2 linked regions of the Bombyx mori genome follow. The protein of the gene in region 1 purifies or fractionates together with the protein of each later gene. This does not show direct contact. Links are inferred from orthologs where the notes say so. Each region holds a gene or a part of one and is shown in the gene's direction. Other genes may lie near its edges.

Region 1 (3,760 bases):
TGGGTAGAAGGATGAACGTGGTCACAGGCGTGGTGTAACTTGGTTATCAAACACCAGGAAACAAAATGTGAATGCCATCATCTAACTTTGGATGTGAGATCAATTGTGCTGTATTTTATTTAAACAGGAAAGCATGACTGATTGATCATTCCAAAAAACTAGTTCGGGCCCACTTGACAATAAGCATATAATACGCTGAGTTGCAAAACATAAATACTTCCACCCACTCGAGACAATTTTATTATCTGAGGTGTGTGTGTGATAGTACGAGACTTTACTCCGACTGTTTTGATCAAACTTAACATATATGATAGCTAGGCAGCAGAAATAGGAAGGACCATTAGTTGGTGCTAATTCATTTAATTATATTATGAATAATAATTCTGTTAGCAAATAATATACCGGGAAAATAGTGTAAACTCACCGTTATCAAGGCATCCGAAATAGCATTTCATTTTCGATCTTCGAGGCATGCTGATTTTTAATAATAAACTTTCTGTAAGAAACGAAAATAGTTACACAGGCTTACGAAACGCTAACGAAGAAAAAAGTATTGGAACCAAGTTATGTCTAAAGAGAATTCAAAACAGAGTTTCTCAATGTCTAATCGTCTAATATTCTCATAAAGCTAAAAGATGCTCTAAATTAATACTACAACGTAATATAACTCACACCAAGACCAAAAAAAACGATTTAAAAAATTAAATCGTTACGACATTTTGAAAACTTTTTTTTTATTTTTGAGATTGTTTTACGGCCCTGGAATTTTGAAAACTTCAAAGCAGTGTTTCCACTTACGTTTTTTTTAACACATTTTACCCTAGTTTCTTTTGAATTTATCCCTAAAATTTCCTAGACAACTTTCATAAATCCTTTATATAGAAAGCATAAATAAAATACAGAAAATAAACCACAGCATATTATTTAATGTAGGTATATATAATATAAACGCCCCCAGAAGATCATAGATCTATAGGATTAGAATTTTCAAGGAAGTCGACGCATTGCTTTTATATTCTTTTGCTGCACGCAACCTAACACTGTTCGGTTCTAAAATTGAGCAATTGTTTGCTGGCAAAGTTGGGAACTTTCTATGAAGCAAGCCGTTCAGGGTTTCATTAGAAAGCCTGTTTCTTTTGTCAATTTTTACATTTGAGAACACTGAATAATCTTTCCACCTCAATCTTTGAAGAAGGAACTGCTAGCAAAAGTGAAATGACAATTACAAGGTTTTCGTAAATGAAATTACCATGATAATCATTCATGGTACATGAAGTACCTGTATATTACAATACAAGTAAGTTCTGGTGACATCAACGAAAATAGGTAAATAAAAGTTTGGCGGATTATACTTATTGGGATTCTGGGGAATCCCTAAGAAAAAAGCAGTGGCTTAATCTATGATTTACTTTACTAGAGGGTTACTGTTGAATCAAACCTTCTTTATAGTTTTTATACACAACTCTGTTTTATTCTTTTACTTGTCAACTCGACTTAATGTCATTCTCTCTCCATAAAGTAAAAGGTTCATTGTTTTACTTTAATTATCGTTTATTTTAAAATTCACAACAGTTACTAGTATAGGCTTTGCTTTTTACCCCGAAATATCCTAAATCCTGGTATTTTTTAAATTGTCTTTATCATCCAAAATATCAGCTATTTTTCCCTAAAAAAGGGAGAATTCCCTAAAAGTGGAAGCACTGCTTCAAAGTACGCTAACCTTTTTTATTGAGTCAGAACTCGTATCTGCCATCTAGTGAGTTTATTAGTTCATTAAGGCCAAAACGTTTCAAAAATGACCTCGCCGGTTCCTAAAGATGACGCTAGTTGAATGTTCTTTTCCTTTGTATGGGAGTTGCACCCCCCTGGTGAATAGGCTAAAATTTCACCACAATTCCAAAATTGTGAGAATGGCAAATAAAGTAGAAAGAGTGCCGGAAAGTATTAACTTTCCAGCCGAAGAGGACAAAATCTTAGAATTTTGGAAAAAAATCGATGCTTTCCAGACTTGTTTAAAACAATCCAAAAGCAGACCAAAGTAAGTCAATACTTTCATATTAGCGCATATTGAAAGAAAATGAATAGCATTCTTATTAAGATAACTGCTTTATATGCGTTATCCTAAAAGTACATTAAAATTTCAAAGTGTGTCGTGGTATTGTAAAAGTTTTATTTAACAGCTGGTTCGTAAAACTATAATAAAACGTTACTTTTTTCATAACCTTTCGTCACATTATTATTTACACACAGAAACCACAAACGGTTCAATTTGTTTTATATTTTCATAACTGAATGAAGGCCATTTAAATAATCTATTCATTTGCCTAACCTCACCTCTCCGTACGGCCTACCACCACCCTGCCTATATCTGCCGTGAAGAAGGGTGGGGCAGCCGTTGTAACTATACTTGAGACCTTAGAACTTATATCTTAAGGTGGGTGGCGCATTTACGTTGTAGATGTCTATAGGCTCCAGTAACCACTTAACACCAGGTGGGCTGTGAGCTCGTCCACCCATCTAAGCAATAAAAAAAACTAACCCGCTAAATTAATTTGCGTAATAACTGGTGGTAGGACCTTTTGTGAGTCCGCACGGGTAGGTACCACCACCCTGCCTATTTCGGCTGTGAAGCAGTAATGAATTTCGATGGAAGGGTGGGGCAGCCGTTGTAACTATACTTGAGACCTTAGAACTTACATCTCACGGTGGGGGGCGCATTTACGTTGTAGATGTCTATGGGGTCCAGTTACCACTTAACACCAGGTGAGCTGTGAGCTTGAATACTTACTAACCTAAATTTCTTTACATTTGAGGAATTTGACTTGGTTAGTGGTTAAATGACCACATTATATTACTAGCTTGGGAAGTGAACATTGTCATAAATATAGTTACTTATAGGTACTCATTTTATGATGGACCACCATTTGCAACAGGACTGCCTCATTATGGTCACATACTTGCAGGCACCATAAAGGATGTGGTCACGAGATATGCTCATCAACAGGTAAAAAAATTACTGTTTAAATTATTTATTTTTACATTAGTTTAATTTTAAAGGTATATAAACTTGTATTTAAAATCTAGCAAGTTTACATCTTTTTGAAAATTGAAATGAGAATCAACTATCTTAACTTACTTATTCCAGGGCTATCATGTAGAAAGAAGATTTGGTTGGGATTGTCATGGACTTCCTGTAGAATTTGAGATTGACAAAACTTTGGGCATTAAAGGTCCAGAAGATGTACATAAATTGGGTATTGACAAATACAATGCAGAATGCCGAAAAATTGTGATGAAGTATGCTGCTGACTGGGAGAATATTATCACTCGTATGGGTCGATGGATTGGTAAATAATACTTAGATTTCTTTGTGAATTATAAATTTATTATATGGTTTAATCACAATATCATTTTGCAGACTTTAAAAATGATTATAAAACTTTATACCCATGGTTTATGGAATCCATTTGGTGGGTTTTCAAGGAACTGTACAACAAAGGCTTGGTGTATCAAGGAGTGAAGGTGATGCCTTATTCTACGGCATGTTCAACTCCATTATCTAACTTTGAATCTGGACAGAACTATAAAGAAGTTGTAGATCCAGCTGTTGTTGTTTCTTTTCCTACTGATAAAGGATATTCCTTACTTGCTTGGACTACCACACCTTGGACATTGCCTAGTAATTTAGCTCTTTGTGTAAATCCCAAATTGATATATATCAAGATTCAAGAAAATAAAACTGGTACATGTTATGTCATTC
Region 2 (3,660 bases), on another chromosome or scaffold:
CAGTGGATCACAATAGGTCCTACCACCAGTGGTGTTAAGTGGTTACTGGCGCCCATAGACATCCGCAACATAAATGCGCCACCCACCTTAAGATATAAGTTCTAAGATCTCAAGTATAGTTACAACGGCTGCCCCATCCTTCAAACTGAAACGCATTACTGCTTCACGGCAGAAATAGGCAAGGCGGTGGTATCCACCCGCGCGGACTTCAAGAGGTTCTACTATCACTTATGTAACTAACAATACATTCAGATCAATAATCTATACTAATATATAATAGTGGTTTTTATGGATGTTCCGCTATAACTACTGAACCATGCATCCGATTGACGTATCCATGTAGAAAATACATGTACTTAATGGATAGGCTAATATTTATATGAGTGTTGGACTCCCTAATAATAATGACAATAAATAATAATGTTAATTTTAACTGCTCAGCGAAGCGGGCGAGTACGGCTAGTATATTATATATTTCGTACTGAATGTATCAATTGATTTTAATTTATTAATCAGAAAACAAGCATCCTGCACTCTCGCTGGCCGGTCGCAGGCGACGTCGACGAGGTGGCGGTGAAGGCCAGCAACTACCTGATGGACGCCGCGCACTCGTTCCGTGTCTACTTGAAGAATCACTGTGCACTCAAGAAACCGAAGAAAGGCGAAACGCCTAAACCAGAGAAGAAGCCCAACAAGGCGGTCATTTGGGTCGCTAAGGAGTTCCCGAAGTGGCAACGCATTATTTTGACGACGCTCAAAGAACTTAACGGGGTGTGTACAGTCGCTTGATATATTCCATTTTACAGCTGATCAACGTAGCTAGCTGCTTCGCTAAAGAAGCGCTGGAAGCGGTAACTCGTTATATATCCGAGAGCACCATTTCGCAGGGAGAATCGACACAACAGGACAAGTGCGTTGTGTCGCCAGCGAGCTGGGGTCTGGAGCGGGCCGGGGCTCCTTGTAGACCGTCGAGAATAGGACGCGTCAATGATTTCTATAATAACAACCGAGATGCGAGGAGTGTCCTCGGTGTTGAAAGGTAGCCTTAGTGAGCCTCGAAACACACTGCGTCGCTATCTTGGTTCGAGCTCTGATAGTATGAGAGAGAGAGAGACTATGATATAGTCTAAAATAGTCCGACGTTCGGTGACTAAGGCTTTACGGGTATAATAGTCTTTTAATCATACACCGCAGACATCTCGAATTGTATGTAATTTTTTTTCATATATCGCGTCGGGCTCACAAGCCACCTGGTGCTAAATGGTTACCCCATCCACCTTGAGATATGAGTTCTAAGGTTGCAGTATAGTTACAACGACTGCCCCACCCTTCAAACCGAATTACTATATTGCAAGGCATATACACGTATCATATCACAAGAGGTCCTACCACCGGTAATTACACGAATTATATTTTTTTTATAATTTGCGTAATATACGATCATTGTTTCCAGCCGGACGGTCTCCCGGACAACAAGACGATCTCGAGCCGGCTGTCGCAGCTGGACGAGCTGCGGAAGTACTCTAAGCGCGTGATGCCGTTCGTGCAGGCGACGCGCGAGTGCGTGCGGCGCGACGGCGGCGCGGCGCTGGCGCTGGCGCTGCCCTTCGCCGAGGCCGCCGTGCTGCGGGACAACGCCGCCTACCTGCGAGCCACGCTCGATGTGAGCACCCCTCTACTCTACTCCAACTCTTTACTGTCTTCTTCTATATCAGCAGTCGGGGAACCGGGGTAAATTATCCCACATGGGGTAAAATGAAATTTTGGGGGGTAAAAATGAAACTTTTGTGAGTAAAAAGTATATATTGAAGTGAAACTTCGAATCGTTAAATTTTTTGTTATTGTTTTCTTTTCAAAATATCATGGGGCCTATAATATGAGAGATGCTAAAAAGAAGCGATTTCGTTTTTTTTTGTTCTTCGCCATGGGGGAATATCAACTTACACAAAAATATTTTGGGGTAACAATTAAAAAAGTTCCCCGACCGCTGTACTATATCGTTCCCTCACTACTGAGGATCGCGACCACATGCGACGTACTTCCAGTGTGCTCGATCATGGGTGGCATGGACTGCACAGTACAGACTACCACCAAGTGCTTCTCTTGCTAGATCTTCTGGTGTTCTGCCCACGACACGCTCGCCCTCTATACGACCCGCAATTATGAGCTTCTCAAATACAAAATACAATATTTTTGAAAACTTATAAATAAACTTATATAAATTGCAAGTGTAACTCAACAATTGAGTTATCTACCAGCTAACCGTTCTTAAAGAGGGAGAACTTTACATAAGTAGGTAGAAGAGTACAATCTAATCAATTTACCAATATTCTAATCTATCTAAATCTAATAATAATAATTTACTAATAACTCTACTCTTTTTTTTATTGCTTAAATGGGTGGAGTAGCTCACAGCCCACCCAGTGTTAAGTGGTTACTGGAGCCTATAGACGTATATAACGTAAATGCGCCACCCACCTTGAGATATCAGTTCTAAGGTCTCAGTATAGTTATAACGGTTGCCCCGCCTTTCAAACCGAAGCGCGTTATGTTCAATTATCATTATTATGTACCAGTTGGACGCGATAGAGGTGAAGTACACGGACAGCGCCGACGCGCCGGAGCGGAGCCGCGAGGAGTGCGCCCCCGGACAGCCGCACATCACGTTCAGCGCCGAGCCCGCCCTCCCGCTCGTCCTGCTCAACCCCACGCCGCTCAACGGACTCTTCACCCTCAGCGTCGACGTGGCTGACGGAGACACCGTCGACAAACTCAAGGCGAAACTTGCCAAGGACGTGAAGGCTATCAAAGGTGAGAGCGAGAACTATATGCATATATTACTTACTGGTGGTAGGACCTCTTGTGAGTCCGCGCGGGTAGGTACCACCCTGCCTATTTCAGCTGTGAAGCAGTAATGCGTTTGGTGTGAAGGGCGGGGCAGCCGTTGTAACTATACTGAGACCTTAGAACTTATATCTCAAAGTGGGTGGCGCATTTACGTTGTAGATGTCTATGGGCTCCAGTAACCACTTAACACCAGGTGGGCCGGGAGTCGTCCACCCATCTAAACGATAAAAAAATCATATCAGCATTTTTTTACGCCGCAGACGCGTACCTCAATAATCACTTATTACTGGATGGGCCGTGAAATCGATCAACAGTCAACGCAAAAAAAAGGTACAAGAAAAGTAAGTATGTAATTTGTAATCAAAACTTGTCTGTGCGATTGTTTTGTAAAAATTAGAATCTATATATTAATACGTGAACCTAAAACTTTGTTTCCCTTTTTACGAAAATTGCGCGGACGGAGGAGTATGAAATTTTCCACACTTAAAGAGAATATAGAGAAGAAGTGCACAATGCTAATATTTTTTTTAAATAATGCATAAAAGATACATTAAATCAATAAATAAAACATTACACACACTACATACCATGTATTTGACGCACACACGCATGCATACTATTTATTTCGATCGAGGTGGGTGGCGCATTTACGTTGTAGATGTCTATGGGCTCCAGTAACCACTTAACATCAGGTGGGCTGTGAGCTCGTCCATCCATCTAAGCAATATAAAAAAAATATAAAAATATTGTCAACCTTTTGTTCCTGACGTCTGTTGTCAAATTGAGAATAAATTAAAATATATTGTTTGTCTT

What was found.
Region 2: the proteins of isoleucine--tRNA ligase, cytoplasmic (region 1) and leucine--tRNA ligase, cytoplasmic purify together in Homo sapiens (affinity purification with mass spectrometry; 7 studies listed by BioGRID and IntAct, counting the BioPlex papers as one, with this or other methods). This does not show direct contact. The link is inferred for Bombyx mori from reciprocal best matches to the Homo sapiens genes IARS1 and LARS1.

The regions. Positions count from the first base shown.
Region 1 is NC_085127.1:9,599,975-9,603,734, forward strand, and holds the start of isoleucine--tRNA ligase, cytoplasmic, read left to right. Parts: upstream 1-1,538; 5' UTR 1,539-1,817; coding exon 1,818-2,038; intron 2,039-2,898; coding exon 2,899-3,004; intron 3,005-3,145; coding exon 3,146-3,347; intron 3,348-3,418; coding exon 3,419-3,760. UniProt on the Homo sapiens protein: Catalyzes the specific attachment of an amino acid to its cognate tRNA in a 2 step reaction: the amino acid (AA) is first activated by ATP to form AA-AMP and then transferred to the acceptor end of the tRNA.
Region 2 is NC_085119.1:13,741,183-13,744,842, forward strand, and holds part of leucine--tRNA ligase, cytoplasmic, read left to right. Parts: intron 1-516; coding exon 517-771; intron 772-1,453; coding exon 1,454-1,663; intron 1,664-2,576; coding exon 2,577-2,811; intron 2,812-3,660. UniProt on the Homo sapiens protein: Aminoacyl-tRNA synthetase that catalyzes the specific attachment of leucine to its cognate tRNA (tRNA(Leu)).